Linked DNA regions of Drosophila melanogaster. The protein of the gene in region 3 binds, or shares a complex with, the protein of the main gene of each other region. Each region holds a gene or a part of one and is shown on either strand. Other genes may lie near its edges.

Region 1 (3,733 bases), on a different chromosome or scaffold from region 3:
CATGGTAATAAGTTAATTTGATTATCAAATACCAGTCGCCATCTAAAGTTTTGCGACTTCTAGCGAGCTCCTCCGCCAACGTATGAAGAAAGCCAGCGAAACGGCGGCACCGGTGCTGGTGCCTATGGCTATCCACAAGGAGGAGGTGCTCCGCCCAGCCAGAATCAGTATTACGGCATGATCAGCCACCAGCAACAGCAGATGCCCTTCAGCGGGCAGCCCAACTACGGTATGACACATGGCAGTGGCTTCGGACTTGCTGGTCCCAGTACGTCGGCAGGAGCAGCTGCAGCACAGGTCCTCCACTTGGACTCACGGGCCGAGGTGAGGACAAATTCCAACGGAAATGTCGTCATTCCGCCTCCTCCGCCGGGCTGCCTGCCCACACCGGCTCAGTGGGCGGCCATGCAGGGTCAGCCTGTGGTTCTCAAGCAAAAAAAGCGTTCCTTTTTTTAGGTTACACATGGCACACCATTTACTCGAATATAATCATGTTGTACCTCTTTCCACTCCTTTGATGTTATAAAAATAAACGACGCGATCCGTTTCGTTTCGTCCTCGCGTATATTTGAAAGTTCCCTAAGCAAACGAACATGTCGCCGGTGAAATGGTTATGTTAAGTCCACCGGCTCTGATCCTACTAAATCACTACTGGATACAAACTACTCGAAGATGTTCTCAAAGTATGTACTATCGAATGTCTGGACACGCACGAAACCATCTTCTCCGCCCGAGGCGTAACTCTTGCCGTCCGGATGGAAGGCCAAACTGTTGATGGGTCCGAAATGGCCCTTGAGTCGGGCGAACTCCTCCTCGTATATCAGGTGGAAGAAGCGCGAGTCAAACTTGCCAGCCTTCGTAGACGTAGTGGTCACCTCCATGGCATCTTGACCGCCGCCCAGCACGACATGATCCATGATTGGGCTGATGGCCGCCGAGTTTACTGGACGCTCCGTTTTGTAGGTCTTGAGGCACATCAGGGACTCCGAATCGAACAATTTGGCGGTGGTGTCCTTGGAGGCGGTCACAAACATGGTGCCATCCTTGCTCAACTGCATGTCGTTGATGCCAGCGCTGTGATCCGTGCCAGAGTCAACCACCTTTTGACCCTTACGGATGTCCCAGATGGCAATGTTGCCATTATCGTGACCTGGAAATACGGGTTTTAAACGGTTTTCATAATAGATTATCGGGTAAACACCAACCTGTGATGATGGTCTCATCCAGAGGACCCCACAACATCGACGTAATTTTGGACTCGGTCATCGGGATGCGGAGTGTGGGCTCCTGCTCCGACAACGAGGAATCGGCGTTGCGGACATCGATGAGGAACAGTTCACAGCTCTGTCCCATCGCTTTGTCCGTTGAGTAGGCTGCCTGGTTGCCCGAGAAGCTGAAGTTGCTGGTGCGCACCGATGACTTGGTCGGAATGGAGGCGATAACGGTGCCGTACTCGACGTCCCAGATCTTAGCGGTCATATCACCGGCGCCGGTGATGAGCTTACGGCTCTCCCAGTCCACATCCAGGCACCAGACCGCACCCTGGTGACCATCGTAGGTGCCCAAACGTTCTCCGTTCAGCGAGTACCACACATTGGGCTTCTGATCCTTGGAGCAGGAGAAGAGCAGGTCGCCCTCGCGGTTGTACTTGATTTGCGTTATGGAACGCTCGTGGCCCTGAAGCATCAACGGACGCTATAAAAGACAGAATAATACGAATTTTTAGCAACAATTTAGGCCGCTTTTAAGGTTATGTTTGGTCCGGAATTTCACACGACTTTCACACTTTGCAAATAGTTGTAATTTCGGGTAAATTCTAAAGAAACCCATCCGGAATAATGCAAACTGTGTAGTCATTGACCAGGCACGCACCATTTTGTATTATATTGTTATTTGTTGCGAGAAAACGAATATTTTTGCAACAACATCCACGCAGCACTACACGCCAAAAGAGCAGTGTGACCGTGGCCTAGTCAAAATCTCACTTCGATATACCAGGGGGATCTAAAAAATACCGTTAATCAAGTTTATTTTGAACAACCAGAAATTTTTACAATCTAGAACTTAAGGTATAGCCAATATAAACGAAAATTTGGATTTAAAACTTGATATACATCAAGTAAAAACCATATTTTATGCCATACATTAAGTAAATACAACGAAACAACATTTGCCTAGCTTAGCCAGCCTAGCTGAACCATCCCTTTTTGTTCATTGAATTCCACTTGGCTATGTTCACCAAAATGGATGCCACACACTGGTCCTTGTCCCGATTTTGGCCGTAGTAATCGACAAACTCGCCATCGGGATTGACCAGGTACATGATGATGGTGTGATCCACAATATAATCGTTGTCCTCGTCCCGCGGTCCAGCGCTGAAATAAACCCTGAAGGCCTTGCACACTTTGCGGATTTGTTCGACGGTTCCCGTGAGTCCCAGCAGTTTGGGGGAGAACTCTTTTACGTATTTGGCCACCACCTCTTTGGAGTCACGTTCTGGGTCAACGGTGATAAAGATGGGCTGCACTGCTGGCGTTTGCGGGGACTTTTCTGTGAAGGTTTGAGAAACATGGTTTTTTTTGGGTTTGGAAGAAATAGTCAGGCTCTACTTACCAACTTCATCGACGACGGCGGCCATCTTCTCTAGCTCATCGGGACAAATATCCGGGCAGTGGGTGAAGCCAAAATAGATGAGCAGCCACTTGCCTAAGAAGTCCTCCGATTTGCGAACAGCTCCCTGCGAATCAACTAATTCCCAACTGCCGCCGATGGCTGCTTTTCCCAATTGCCGCTGACGCTCCTTCATTCTCGCCTCATCCTTCTCGCTCTTCACGTACAGCATGAAGCCCACTCCTCCGGCTCCAAGGGCTCCAATGACGGCCAGACTTCTCCAAGAGATCGGACCCTTGCCTTTAGTGGAATCTGCGGGAGCGGCATAATGACGAATTGCGGGCTGTTGTGCCCAGCGACGACAGCTGCCCACTAAGCGTTGCAGGGAGCGGGACATCTTACGCCCGGTTTCAGAAATTTGAAGGCTTTACGTAAATCTTCTGGAGAAATAAAAATATCGCCGGTGTCCTGCTGCTTCTTCCTATTCAGCCAGTCACGGCGAAACAGCATTTATTTAGTACATAAAGTATATTTATTTAGTATATTAGTTAGTTTGTTAGTTAGTTTGGTATATTTTGGTATTAGAAGGCGGTCTTATTGATTCCAACACGTGCGGTTCAATTTTGTTAAATTATTTAATAAAAACACCGGGGCAAATGGCAAGCAAAAATCGCAAGGAGCCGCTTCTGTACATGGAGGAGTATCGGGTGAAGCAGGATCCGCAGGACTATGGACTGGCGGACGATGTATTTTCCGTTCAGGCTTTCAAGGAAAAGCTGCACATCAAAATCGTCAGGTAAATCTCAATAGAAATTAGAATCTTACGAGTCGATTAACAATTGGTGTTCACTTCTAGAAACGACGAAGACGGCCTGGAGTTCGATCTGATTGGCGTGTATCCCGCCATTGCAAATGCCTTCCGTCGCCTGATGCTCAGCGATGTGCCCAGCATGGCCATCGAAAAGGTGTACATATACAACAACACCTCGATCATCCAGGACGAGGTACTTGCCCATCGAATGGGTCTACTTCCGTTGCGGGCTGATCCCCGTCTATTCGCATACCGCACCGAGGAAAGCACTGAGGCGGGGACCGAGCAGGATACGCTTGAATTTGAGCTGAA
Region 2 (4,225 bases), on a different chromosome or scaffold from region 3:
TTCCGGATGCCCAAGCACTTAATTAAGTGCGAGAAGAACTACTGTGGACCGCCGCTGCAGACCTGCAAGTACAACGCCACACACCGAGTCCAGGACATGGAGAAGCATCTGAAGGAGTGTGACTACTATCTCCGCAGCATCGAAAACCAGGCGGTGCAGATAGCGCTTCGTAGTCGCATACCGCCCAAACAGGAAGATGGACATGATGTGGACACACCATTTTAGGCTAAGACAAGCAGGCATCCAAATATACCATGTACATATGTGATAGTATATGAACCATAAAATAAAAAGCTTCTTGAAGAAGCATGCACAATATTCGTTTGATTGCATTTATGTTCTGATTAAAATAAGAATCTTAAACTAGAGGAGCAAAAGTTTTGGTATTTACAAGCCTGTTGCTATTGCATTGCACAAAGCCTGGGGTCAAATACATTCGTCTGGCGTTTAAAACATTTGCAGGCACTTTTCCACAACTATTTACAGTCTAAGATTACGTCTAGGACAAGCTACAGCATTACACCATATCGAGGTCCGATTCTGCCGCTTCCTCGTCGATCAGCTTTCGTTTATCCGTTGATTTGGTCGTGGCATCACTTAAATTGGACAGCGGACGCACCTTGCCCAAATTAACCACCGGGCTTTGGGTGTAGAGATAGATGGCGTAGGATACAACCGCGATGGCCAGCGCGGTGTTCATGTAAATGGGTATGGAGAAGAGGAAGTAGCATAGGACTGCCGTGAAGAGCAACTCCAGAGCGCTCGCGAAGGTCTTTAGAATGGAGTTCATGTACTTGAGGAAGAAACTCGTGACAATGCCAATAGCCGCATTGTTAACAATAATGATTAGCACGCTAAAGCGCATAATACTGCCCAGATTCTGCGGACTAAAGGCATCAAGGAGCTCGCCGCGCAGCAAGAGGATGACTGCATTGCAGACAATCGAGTCCAGGTACATGAAGACATTCTGTACAAAGATATTCACATCGGCTCCCTTATCTTTAAGCAGATACTCATTGTAAACGCCCGCCAGACAAGAGCAAATTGTCTGTGCCAGAATGAAGACGGCACTCAGGCTAAAATCGAAGCCGGACATGTTCTTGCCGTGAGCGTGCGTCTCTGCAGAAGTTGTTTTATTATGTGATTGCAGCTGCTGCTGTATGGCTGCGGACTCGCTGTCATCATTCGCATCGCTGTAGAAGCTGCCGAAATCGACCTGCTTCATCATACAGCCGAGTGTCAGCAGTATGAGGGAGATCCATTGCCTTTGCGACAGGTACTTCTTGAAGATAATTTGGAATAGTATGCCCGTGACAACGACACGTAGCTGCAGTAGCAGATAGTAGGTGGTGGGATCGAATGTGGCCAAGTTGACAAAGGCCAAATTGTTGTACAGGCAGTAGAGAAAGGCGGGCACCATGTACAAGCCCAATACATTCCGATCCTTCTGAACATCGCGCACCAGGGAGCGTAGGTTGTTGCTGTGAATGAAATCGCGGTTTAATAGCGAGACAAAGGAGCGCCTCCACTCCTACTCACTCTCGGCAATACAGACAGGTGGAGACTATCAATTTAAAGACCTCGGTTAGCAGCACAACCGTGACGGTATTGTAGCCATAGGAGTTATTCGATTCCTGAGATGCTGTGACAAAGATGCCTGCAAAATAGACAGGAATTAGGGTGCGGCTTTGGCTTGCGTAAAAAGCCTTAATAAGGCAGCTGCATACCCTGTCCTATGAATAGGGACATGTACAACAGGAAGATCACAAATGTGAGCTTGGTGGGGAACAATTCACGCCAATTAGTTGACATTTCTGCGGTCTTCGTACTGCCAGCGTTGCGTTGCTAATGCGAAGAGAACTAAGACTAGCTACAAGTTGCGGCAACCGCAGTTATCAGTACCGTTCCGCTCGTTCGTGACAAGTGGGCCGTTTCTCGGTTTTCTAGGAAGTACAATTTTGAGTTTGTTTCTGTTGCTTTTCCACTGATAAACAAAATATATTTTGGGCCTTTTTTTATCGCTCGCCCGAACAGCTGATTTTAAAGCAGTGCACGCTTTTCAACACTTCAACCCACACAAAAATTGTGGTGTTGCGAAACGCCCTTTTACCACTGCAGCCGAGTTCACGTCGTGGGTCTTTTCGCTTACAATTCGTCAACATGGCAAATCGCGCAAATCGTCATGCTGCTCGCACCGAGGATTCGGATAATACCATTAACTACGTCCAATGCGACGGACTGGTGAGTAGTGCTGTTGGCCAAAAGACCTGGCCGAGATTGGCCCGTGGGAACCGGCGCGAAAGCCGGAAAAGTTAATGCCACGCGCTGTCTCAGAAATTTGCGTGCTTTGTGTGTGTTTGTATGGGTGTTCGTGAGGACATGGGCGTAGAGCTATAAGGAAAAGGGGGCCGGTCTCTTCATTACCATAGCACAAAAAACTTCAGTCAAATGTTTTCTTCAGAGAAACTATTAAAAGAAAGTCCGAAATATATCTACTTTCCACGCCCCTGTTCAAATGCAAATAGTTGTCTGTCGCTAATTGATTTTGGAACATAATTACTACGATCACTTTACCTTGCAGGCCGTCATGAAGATGGTGAAGCACTGCCATGAGGAGTCGAGCAACATGGACCTCGCCCAGGGCGCCCTGCTCGGTCTGGTGGTAGACAAGTGCCTGGAGATCACCAACTGCTTCCCGTTTCCCAAGAGCGGCGATGAGACCATGGACGAGGAGATGTACCAGCTGACCGTGATGCGTCGCCTGCGTCGCGTCAACGTAGATCATCTCCATGTGGGCTGGTACCAGAGCTCCGACGTGGGCAACAGCCTGTCAATGGCTCTGTTGGAATCGCAGTACCACTACCAGACCAGCATTGAAGAGTCCGTCGTTGTCGTCTACGATACGCAGAAGTCATCCCGCGGATTCCTGTGCTTGAAGGCCTACCGCCTTACTCCGCAGGCCATTCAGATGTACAAGGATGGCGACTTCACTCCAGAGGCATTCCGCACCCTGAAGGTCGGCTACGAGAACCTCTTCGCCGAGATTCCCATTGTGATCAAGAACTCGCCGCTGACCAACATTATGATGAGCGAGCTGAACGAGCTGCTGCCCGAGGACAAGGGGCACAACTTCCTGGACCTGGGCACCGCCACCGTATTGGAGAACCAAATGCGTAGCCTGATCGAGCGCGTCGACGAGTTGTACCAGGAGGCAGTGCGCTATAACAAGTACCAGCAGGTGGTCTTCAAGCAGGATACGGTACGTAGCAATATAATTAAATATGTAAAAATTCCTAATCGCTTTCCTTGCATTTATATTTTTTAGGAGAAGCACCGTGCTCTGGCTAAGCTGGCCGCCGAGAACGCCGTTCGCACATCGAAGGGAGAGCCCACGGTGCCAGAGGAGGAAGTGATCAAACAGTTCCGCCCCATGACTGCGCCCAACCGCCTGACGGCCACCATAACCTCTGGCCAGATCAATACCCACGCCCAGCATATCGCACAATTCTGTTCGCAATCGCTGGCCAAACTCTTCATCACGGAATCGCTGCAAATTGCCAAGGAAGCAAAGGAAACCAAATAGATTAGCTAATGTTAAGCGTTTTTTAAGCTGAGGCAACAACATTCACTACCCACAAACATAGCAACTGCACACACAGACGTCGAAAATAAACCAAACAAGCGATGAGTGGGCTTGGAAGCGAACTGCCAGCTGATTTCTTCTTTATTGTACTCTCCATTTGCTCAATAGAATGGCCAATTCAAACCGCCCCAAAAAAAGAAAACCACCACCCGCTATGCAGCCAAAAATTGGTACTGCTTCTGCGCACGCCGGATGTTTGGTTTCACTTCTCGATGAGACTTTCCGGGGGAGTGTTGCTGCCACTGACGACATCGACGCACTTTTCACACCACCCCACAAGCAGCTGCTTATCATTTGGTTTGTTCTTTTCGCTTCGCCTTTTCGCTAACCAGCTTCAGTTAGCCTAACTAACTAAATTACTAACCCGATGGCAAAATGCTGTCCTACGACCTCAACGAACGCCTGCTAACCGCCGTACAGAGCGGAGATTTCGAGCAGGCTCTGGGCTGCATCATGCAAGGTGCCCAGGCCTCGTATGTATCGCCCACTTGCGGACGCACTGCCGTGGGCACGGCGGCCATTCTGGGCGATGCCGAACTGTTGGAGCTGCTGCTTCAATCCTGCGAGGAGCCCGAGCTGAAT
Region 3 (4,584 bases):
CTTGGCTGTGTTCCTTTCACCAAGCCGCTACCGCTTTTTCCTACAAGACCGGCAGTGGCAGAAGAAAAGCTTCAGCGGCAGGAGCGATTGCAGATGAGCTGGAGATGAGAGGGTAAATCCGGAGGTTGGAAAGCGGAAGGCGGATGGGGATGGAGAAACCGCAGCGGTGACGTGGCAATGCAGCTGCATAATGTGGCATGCGGTTTGCATTAAAAATGATATTGCAACACGAGCCGCACATCTGCAGCTGTGTGCAGTTAGGCGCCGCCTGCAGTCACTGACAGCCGCATGGCAATTATAATCCACACACACATACACTCACTCAGACGCACACTCATCCACGGCTTATGGCTACACTGAAATCAATTCAATGGTAAAATAGGAATTATTTCAGTCAAAATAAGTTCCCATTGTTATTGCTCCACAGAACCCATTATTATATTCTTGGTATGCATTCTTGGTCTTCTATTCTTACATTTGACATTATCTCTTCATATTCTCGCAGTGTATCAACAGAGAAGTGCGAGGGAATCTGGAGCCGGGCCATGTAAGCAGCAGCTGCCAGTGACATACACATCAACATGACACCCTGTCGCTTGACAAAGCTTAGCTCAGGATCTGGGTGCTGGAAGAGGGGCGGAGGCACCGCACTCCCACTGTCATCCCGCTCGCACCCATATCATTTTCCACACATTCAGGCACATTCACACGCTCGACATGTTGCTTTTTGGGTATGAGCCGGAGTGCAGGATGTCCGCTTCCTTTTTCGCCGCCTCACACGTTGTTATCTAACAAGCTTTTTATGTGATTACCTTTTGCCTTCTGTTAGTTTTACTATAATTTGGCCTTTACGCTTAACGAGATTGTTGTAAGGTGCTCCCAGCCAAGAATAAGGAAACCGAACCGGAACACAGTGAGGACTGAGCCAAGTTGACCAGATCCAGCACACAGGACACTCGTCCCATTGTAGTGCACTCCGCTGTTGTTCCTTTGCTTTCCTGATACTTGGGTCAGAACAATGGTGCTGGAGTTGGAGTCATATGAATGGAGTCATGTCGATGTGAGCTTAGATGCGTCGTCAAGTGATAATCCCGTCACAGTACCCCGCTTCCTGTACCATTTCCACAGCTCAACAAACATTTATTTGTGCGCTTAGTGAGGGTTTTTTATAAAAGATAATAAGAAACAAGAATTTGTCGGCTGGAAGGGGATCCCCGCGCCCATCCTGGATCAGCTCACCATGCGGAGGATGAGAATAATCGTGGCCAATGAGAGCAGCACGACGTTGACGGAGAACCGAAAGACGAACAGGCAATTACACATTTCTTCATTGTGGTTGCGGTGGTGTTTAATTGGGGGCAGGGCGTCCTCCTAAGATTCATTCTCCAAACGTCTTACTTCTCACTTTGTGTAGTTTATAGGGTTTCGGTGTGACTAGAAATACAAATAAGACTGAGCTTTTATTGTGAGGAATTGGTATCTTTTGATTTCTCACAATAGGCTTCAATCTACTTACTATAGGCTTTTGAAGAAATCTTTTTAGTTGTCTATCAAAAATTATTTAAAGATTGGATATTCGGTTATTTCCTTAATGGATAAAACCGCCTTTTTCATATTATAACATTATCCAAACGTAGGGCTTGGAAAATTTTCCCAAGCTGTCAAGCCGGCCATACGAAATCAGCTCAGTGTAATTTGTACCTCGACAAAACCGGATCACATAAATGTAAATACTTGCTCTTGGTTATTTAAACATCTTTCGGCGTGATTATGTCCAACTACGCACCCTTTATCAAGCCCTATGTGGAGTACAACGAGCACGGCTGGGGTCCTTGCGAGGTACCCGAATTGGATGTGCCCTACCAGCCGTTCTGCAAAAGTGATCGCCTGGGCAAGATCTGCGACTGGACTGCGATGGTGCCCGAGAAGAAGTTCCCCAGTAAATACGCCTCGACCTTTGGCAACAACAGTCAGTACGCATACTTCTACGAGGACGATGACTCCACCTTCCATTTGGTGGACACCACTGGATCGAAGGCCACCAAGCCCTATCAGCGGGGACGCTATAGACCCAATATGCGCAACAATGTGAGGAGCAGGGGTCGCACGGGGCGTGGCACTCCGAATATAGCAAGTCTCGGGGGATCCACGGCTGGAGGCGCAACTGCCAGTACCACCAAGTACGGAAAGGGTCGCAATACACGCAACACGCAGAATATGGGTCGCAGATTCGGTCGCAATGCTCCCACCAGAATCCGCGAGAGCTCAGTGATGGTGCAATCGGATTGGGTTTCGATCGAGGAGATTGATTTTCCACGCCTTCTCAAGCTGGCACTTCCCAATATTAAAGATGGTAAGGACATTGCCACCTGCGGATGGCTGGAATTTTATGATAAGTTATACGATCGAGTCAACTTACGCAATGAAAAACCATTGCAAAAGATGGATCGTGTTGTGCACACCGTGACGACCACGGATGATCCGGTTATTCGTCGTCTTTCGAGGACCATGGGCAATGTCTTTGCCACCGACGAAATCTTGTCCACCATAATGTGCTGCACACGCTCCAATTACTCTTGGGATGTGGTAGTCGAGAAATTGGGCACTAAGGTGTTCTTAGATAAGAGATATAATGATCAATTTGATTTGCTGACTGTCAACGAGACTTCAGTAGAACCTCCGATGGATGAGGAGGGTTCCATCAATTCGGCACATAGCTTGGCAATGGAGGCCACTCTAATTAATCACAACTTTAGCCAGCAGGTAGGTTTACAGTAGGTTTCAATTTATGTTATTTGTTATTGTACGTTTTTAAATCTTATGTTATTTATTTTTAAAAGGTTCTTCGCATTGGCGACCAAGAGCCACGTTTCATGTTTGAGGAGCCCAATCCGTTCGAGGAGCCAGGCGTGGATCTTGCCTCCATTGGCTATCGCTACCGTCAGTGGGATCTGGGCAACGATGTGGTGCTGATTGCTCGCTGCAAGCACAATGGGGTTATCCAAGGACCCAATGGGGACGTGCAGTTCCTCTCGATCAAGGCGCTGAATGAATGGGACTCCAAGGTGACCAACAGTGTGGAGTGGCGCCAGAAGTTGGACACCCAGCGCGGTGCAGTCTTGGCCTCCGAGTTGCGCAACAATGCTTGTAAGCTAGCTCGATGGACCGTTGAGGCTGTGCTGGCTGGTTCCGATCAACTGAAGTTAGGCTATGTGTCCAGGATGAATCCGCGTGATCACCTGCGTCACGTGATCCTTGGCACACAGCAATTCAAGCCGCAGGAGTTCGCCACCCAAATCAACCTGAACATGGACAATGCCTGGGGAGTATTGCGTTGCCTAATTGACCTTGTGATGAGGCAACCGGATGGAAAGTATCTGATCATGAAGGATCCCAACAAGCCGATGATCCGTCTGTATGACGTTCCGGAAAACGCCTTCGACTCCGACGGCGATGAGGAGGAGGAGTCCAGCGATCCCTTGAGTAACTCCAACGATAACTAACGCCCTCACGAATTTATTCAACTAATAGTTCTCCGAACAAGGGGATCCGTCGACGGACGAGACAAGCCGACACATGCTGACAGATGCGCAGTGAACACAAATGCAATTTAAATTGAGTTTTTGACCAAACACAACATATGAACGGAGCCATCACTTGACATGTCAGTGAACAACGGACCGGGTGACCGGGTGCAGTCACAGTTATTTTGAGGATAACATGGCCACATCAATCACTGCGGTTCCAAGAAATACAAAATGAAACCCGGCTAAATAAATATGCATTGTGCAGAACATCCCCCGCCATTACCGACTGACAATCACAATAATTGCGGGGGAGTGGAACTGGGGCTGAAATGGGTGAAGGGCTGTTTGGGTGACAAACCTCAGGATCAATAAATCACCGAACACGGCATCAATCAATGCAAATTCTGATGCTGCTGTGGTGCTTGGCGTGCGACAATTTAAGCAAAATGTTTTCGTATTCAACAGCATTTAATTAAATTCATATATGTGCTCGAATTTCATATGCATCCTGCCTTTTTTGTTATTTGGCAATTCAATTTGGGCAGTCAGTGAGCACAAAAGTGCAGAAATTATTCCCCAACGGAAATGCAAATCGCTCAACTAAATTACCAAAATGTTTTGCGCATTTTTGTTTTTGTTTCTCCGTCCGCCAATTTCTTTTTGTTCAGCGCCAAATTGAATTTAGACCTATTCAATTTGCATGGATAGGCTTGCACTCCCTTTCTTCCCCAGACAGGATGAGCAAATGATGATGCCTGGGTGTGAAATAAGTGTGTGAAAATATTTAGGGAATTTACGCAAATGAAAATTGAAACCGATTAATTTTAATTCCCTGCCTGCGGCAAATTTGATTGATAAAGTCGGTCCATTATGTGGCAGTGCACAGATTCACAATGCAGCACATACATATGTATATGTGTGCACATCAAGTATACGCACAGTTGGCCGGAAAGGCACTTGATCTTGCCAGTAAGCAGCAGTGAAACACCAAAGTGTTATTCAATTAAAACATTTTGTTTGCTAAATCAACATGTGTGCCTGTGTGTGTGCCTGCAGG
Region 4 (3,384 bases), 7.5 Mb from region 3:
TATATTTAAATTGGCCACACAAACTTTCATATGAAAAGTTTTTTTTTTAATTAATTTATATATTAAGGCATACGGGGAAATCTTGGAGCCCCTTTGTGTCCTTCTTTCATATGAAAAGTGTGTTTTTTTATGCTCTTTAGAGTACCTTTTATTCTTCACCAGGATCAAGAATCAGCGCAGTCGATCTGGCCATGTTTGTCCGCATGAACGTCAAGATCTCATGAACTATAAATGCTAGAAGATTAAGGATGCAGATTGCACAGAAAAGTGTAGGCGTAGCTCAAGTTTATCCTGGTGCTACCAAACAATTGAAAGTTAAGTAACGCATATGATGCAACGAGGTGCTGGTTATAAAATGTAAGAAACTAGTTTTTAATAGAATGTGTTGTCATATTTCGTCACAAAATTTGATATTATAACTTTTGTGTGCCGAAGGTACGATCATCAAAGTTTGATATTAAAGAATATAAATATTACTATTCTTACAATAAACCCAGCACCGATGCGACTCCCTGAAACCCTATAGAATAGTGAAGCTCACCAAAGACTGAAACACAACATTTTGTTTTAGCAGTTGGGTGCTAAATTTTCAGTTGCACATGCATTTATTTTGTTCCTGGTGATGAATACTGTTGTGTTTAAGAGTCTTCAGTAGATTCGAATGCTCCTACAAACGCCACATGGTCGTTTAGTGTAGGTGTCACAGGATTCATGCTGATTCTTCAATTGAGTTATAAAAAAGATAATCCCATATATATTTTCTTTAGTATGGAATGTCATTCTGACCAGAGTAATCGATACAAGTTTTGGTTTTTTTTTTTGGCGATCAGAGCACTTTATTACGTAGACCCCCATTGATAAAAAACACAATCAGTTTACAATGCCACCCTTAGTAGATATTACCACTTCAACAAACGCCGTCGTTCTAGGCGGTGGGCAGGAAGGTGAGCTTTTCGTTAAGCTGCAGCTGGGTTTTGATGAGCTGGGAGAGCGTGATGACCAGCAGAAGGTTGCGTACGTTGGCGTTGAACATCTGAGTGAACTGCTCGTGGGTCATGTGCGGCACGGAGTGGATAAGGTCTAGCAGCTGGCGTCCGACGGCGTTGTCGGGGGTTACCTTGTGAGCGATCACGTCGTCAACGTACTTGAGAATAAGATCCAGCAGGGACTGCAGCTTCGTGGAGGCCTCCGAGATTTGGGCCAGGTCCAGCATTGGCGGAACGGTCTTGGGACGGTGAGCGGGCGAAACGCCTACGGTCTTCTGAAGCAGCTTGAGCCCAAATGTCTCCGGCTCGTAGCTGGTCAGCTCGACAGGAATGGGCGTGAACATGCAGCCGCTCTTGCCGCCGGGAACTCCTAGTTGAATGCAGACATAAGCACGCAGACCCATACGTCCGCCCTGCAGCGAAGTGTCCACGGTGAGGTGAACCGGGTTGTTGCATTCGCGGGCGTAATACTCGTGGATCACCGAGCTGTGGTTGGTAACGTCGTTGCCGGTGGCCCACCAGCCTACCACGCTCTCGTTGGAGTTCACCTTGCGGTTGAGGTCGTACATGTCCAGGGCGTAGCTCAGCTCTGCCTCCACCTGGTCATCGTGCTCCTTGTGCGGCACACAGAAACAGTTGGTAACCTCCACCACACCTTTGTCCACAGAGCCGAGCAGGGTGCCGATGACGCGGTGCGAGTCCGCGTTCCGCCGCTCGAAGGCGTCCACCACCTGGAAAAGCACCACCGGGTGCACGCGCACGGTCAGATTGAGAGCCGACATGGTAATTTTCGGTGGCCAAGATTTGCAAGGAAAATTTCCGCAATAATTTCTATTCAGCCACGCTGCGCGTATGTTTTAGGGATGCAAGAAAAGGGCCTATCGATAGTGCGGGTGGGGGTTGATGGCTTTTGGAGCTATCGGTGCGGTCGTGCGTGGCCTATCGTTTTATCGATGTAAAACCGGTGGCTAGCGTTAGTTAATCAAATACTATTCAAATTTGAATATGTCGGAGATGCCAAGCGCGACTTTTCATTTACTTCAGCGTCCATATTGTCCAGCACATCAAGTCGCCTGCGTGTTGTTTCTTCTGTCGTTCTAAGCAGACTAATTTACTCAAGCGTCGCCTTCGCGATGCTTTTCTTCTATTCCTCACCTTCACTCAATTATTTCATCCTTACTTCGTTTCCAGAAACTATACAACAACAACAACAGCCACACAAATGATGCCCACTCAATAACGGAACGCTTTCCGTGAATTTCATTGCTCGCTGCTCATTCTTAACATAACGGATCAATAACAAAATGTCGGTTACATTCTACTACTCAATCTTGCTTGTGAAATTTTGCTGATCAAACGTGCTTAAAGCGAATTATTAAATTTAATAAAATGCCTGGAAAGAGATAAACTTTGAAGTTACCCAATTAATAAACTATAACCACCAGTTGGGAAAATCTTTTCCAGAATAAGTATAAATGTTTTCTGTATCCCGTAAGACCGTCTACTATTTTTTAAAAGGCTCGGAAAAAGAGGACAGGCTTGAACCTAAGAGTGGTGGTGGGCGGAAAATTAAAATTAAAAAGCGTGTAGACCGCTTTATTATGCGAATAGAGATTGCGAACCCCCGGTCAGATCACTTGCTCTGGATATCAGGCAAGAGTGTCACCTAACTGTGTCACACGAAACTGTGCGCCAAGTCATCCTACGCCATAGATACTCTTCAAGAGTTGCGAGGAAAAATCCTTTGCTATCAGATGCCAATATGGAAAAGCGTCATTAATTCGCTGTGAACAAGGTGGATCATCCAGAAGAGTACTGGGATGACGTCATATTTGGTGACGAAACAAAAATTATGCTCTTTTATAACGACGGGCCAAGCAGAGTATGGCGCAAACCGCTGAGTGCGCTAGAAAAACAAAATATCATTCCAACGATAAAATTTGGAAAAATGTCACTGATGGTTTGTGGCTGTATCACCAGCCATGGAGTGGGAAAACTAGCCTTAATTTAGAGCACAATAAATGCCGTGCAATATCTAGGAATCTTAAAAAACAAATTTGAAGGCCGGTGCAGAAAAATTTGGTCTAGTTAGCAACAACAAGCCAAATTTTATATTTTAAGAGGACATGATCAGAAACATAAAGAGTGCAATGTACGCACCTGGCGCCCTTATAACTGTGGTAAAGTGATCGATACGCCCCCTCAGAGTCCTGATCTGAACCCCATTTAAAATTTGTGGACCTACTTAAAGAAGAAGGTGGCAAAAAGGGACCTAAAACACGACAACAGCTTATGACTGTAATAGTCGAAGAGTGTGAAAAGATCCCGTTTGAATATGACCTGCAAAAACTTGTCCATTCCATGAAAAAAGGGCTTCAACTTGTAGCTAAAGCCAATG

What was found.
Region 1: eIF3d2 (region 3) and eIF3i share a complex: the UniProt entries of both Drosophila melanogaster proteins name them as parts of the eukaryotic translation initiation factor 3 (eIF-3) complex.
Region 2: eIF3d2 (region 3) and eIF3h share a complex: the UniProt entries of both Drosophila melanogaster proteins name them as parts of the eukaryotic translation initiation factor 3 (eIF-3) complex.
Region 4: eIF3d2 (region 3) and eIF3f1 share a complex: the UniProt entries of both Drosophila melanogaster proteins name them as parts of the eukaryotic translation initiation factor 3 (eIF-3) complex.

The regions. Positions count from the first base shown.
Region 1 is NT_033779.5:4,965,819-4,969,551, forward strand, and holds eIF3i (eukaryotic translation initiation factor 3 subunit i), read right to left. Parts: upstream 1,958-3,733; 5' UTR 1,876-1,957; coding exon 1,873-1,875; intron 1,696-1,872; coding exon 1,206-1,695; intron 1,151-1,205; coding exon 663-1,150; 3' UTR 549-662; downstream 1-548. Other genes in the region: CG34125 (uncharacterized protein), read left to right, coding at 1-4, 64-456; Scox (synthesis of cytochrome c oxidase), read right to left, coding at 2,189-2,550, 2,614-3,007; Polr1C (RNA polymerase I and III subunit C), read left to right, coding at 3,267-3,406, 3,467-3,733. UniProt on the Drosophila melanogaster protein: Component of the eukaryotic translation initiation factor 3 (eIF-3) complex, which is involved in protein synthesis of a specialized repertoire of mRNAs and, together with other initiation factors, stimulates binding of mRNA and methionyl-tRNAi to the 40S ribosome.
Region 2 is NT_033779.5:5,050,671-5,054,895, reverse strand, and holds eIF3h (eukaryotic translation initiation factor 3 subunit h), read left to right. Parts: upstream 1-1,812; 5' UTR 1,813-2,160; coding exon 2,161-2,241; intron 2,242-2,581; coding exon 2,582-3,259; intron 3,260-3,325; coding exon 3,326-3,583; 3' UTR 3,584-3,703; downstream 3,704-4,225. Other genes in the region: CG14036 (uncharacterized protein), read left to right, coding at 1-225; senju, read right to left, coding at 518-1,481, 1,540-1,657, 1,728-1,812; CG9121 (uncharacterized protein), read left to right, coding at 4,019-4,225. UniProt on the Drosophila melanogaster protein: Component of the eukaryotic translation initiation factor 3 (eIF-3) complex, which is involved in protein synthesis of a specialized repertoire of mRNAs and, together with other initiation factors, stimulates binding of mRNA and methionyl-tRNAi to the 40S ribosome.
Region 3 is NT_033777.3:12,192,139-12,196,722, reverse strand, and holds eIF3d2 (eukaryotic translation initiation factor 3 subunit d2), read left to right. Parts: upstream 1-1,711; 5' UTR 1,712-1,770; coding exon 1,771-2,763; intron 2,764-2,840; coding exon 2,841-3,503; 3' UTR 3,504-4,020; downstream 4,021-4,584. Other genes in the region: CG43450 (uncharacterized protein), read right to left, coding at 1,236-1,382. UniProt on the Drosophila melanogaster protein: mRNA cap-binding component of the eukaryotic translation initiation factor 3 (eIF-3) complex, which is involved in protein synthesis of a specialized repertoire of mRNAs and, together with other initiation factors, stimulates binding of mRNA and methionyl-tRNAi to the 40S ribosome.
Region 4 is NT_033777.3:4,712,318-4,715,701, forward strand, and holds eIF3f1 (eukaryotic translation initiation factor 3 subunit f1), read right to left. Parts: upstream 1,866-3,384; 5' UTR 1,769-1,865; coding exon 926-1,768; 3' UTR 565-925; downstream 1-564. UniProt on the Drosophila melanogaster protein: Component of the eukaryotic translation initiation factor 3 (eIF-3) complex, which is involved in protein synthesis of a specialized repertoire of mRNAs and, together with other initiation factors, stimulates binding of mRNA and methionyl-tRNAi to the 40S ribosome.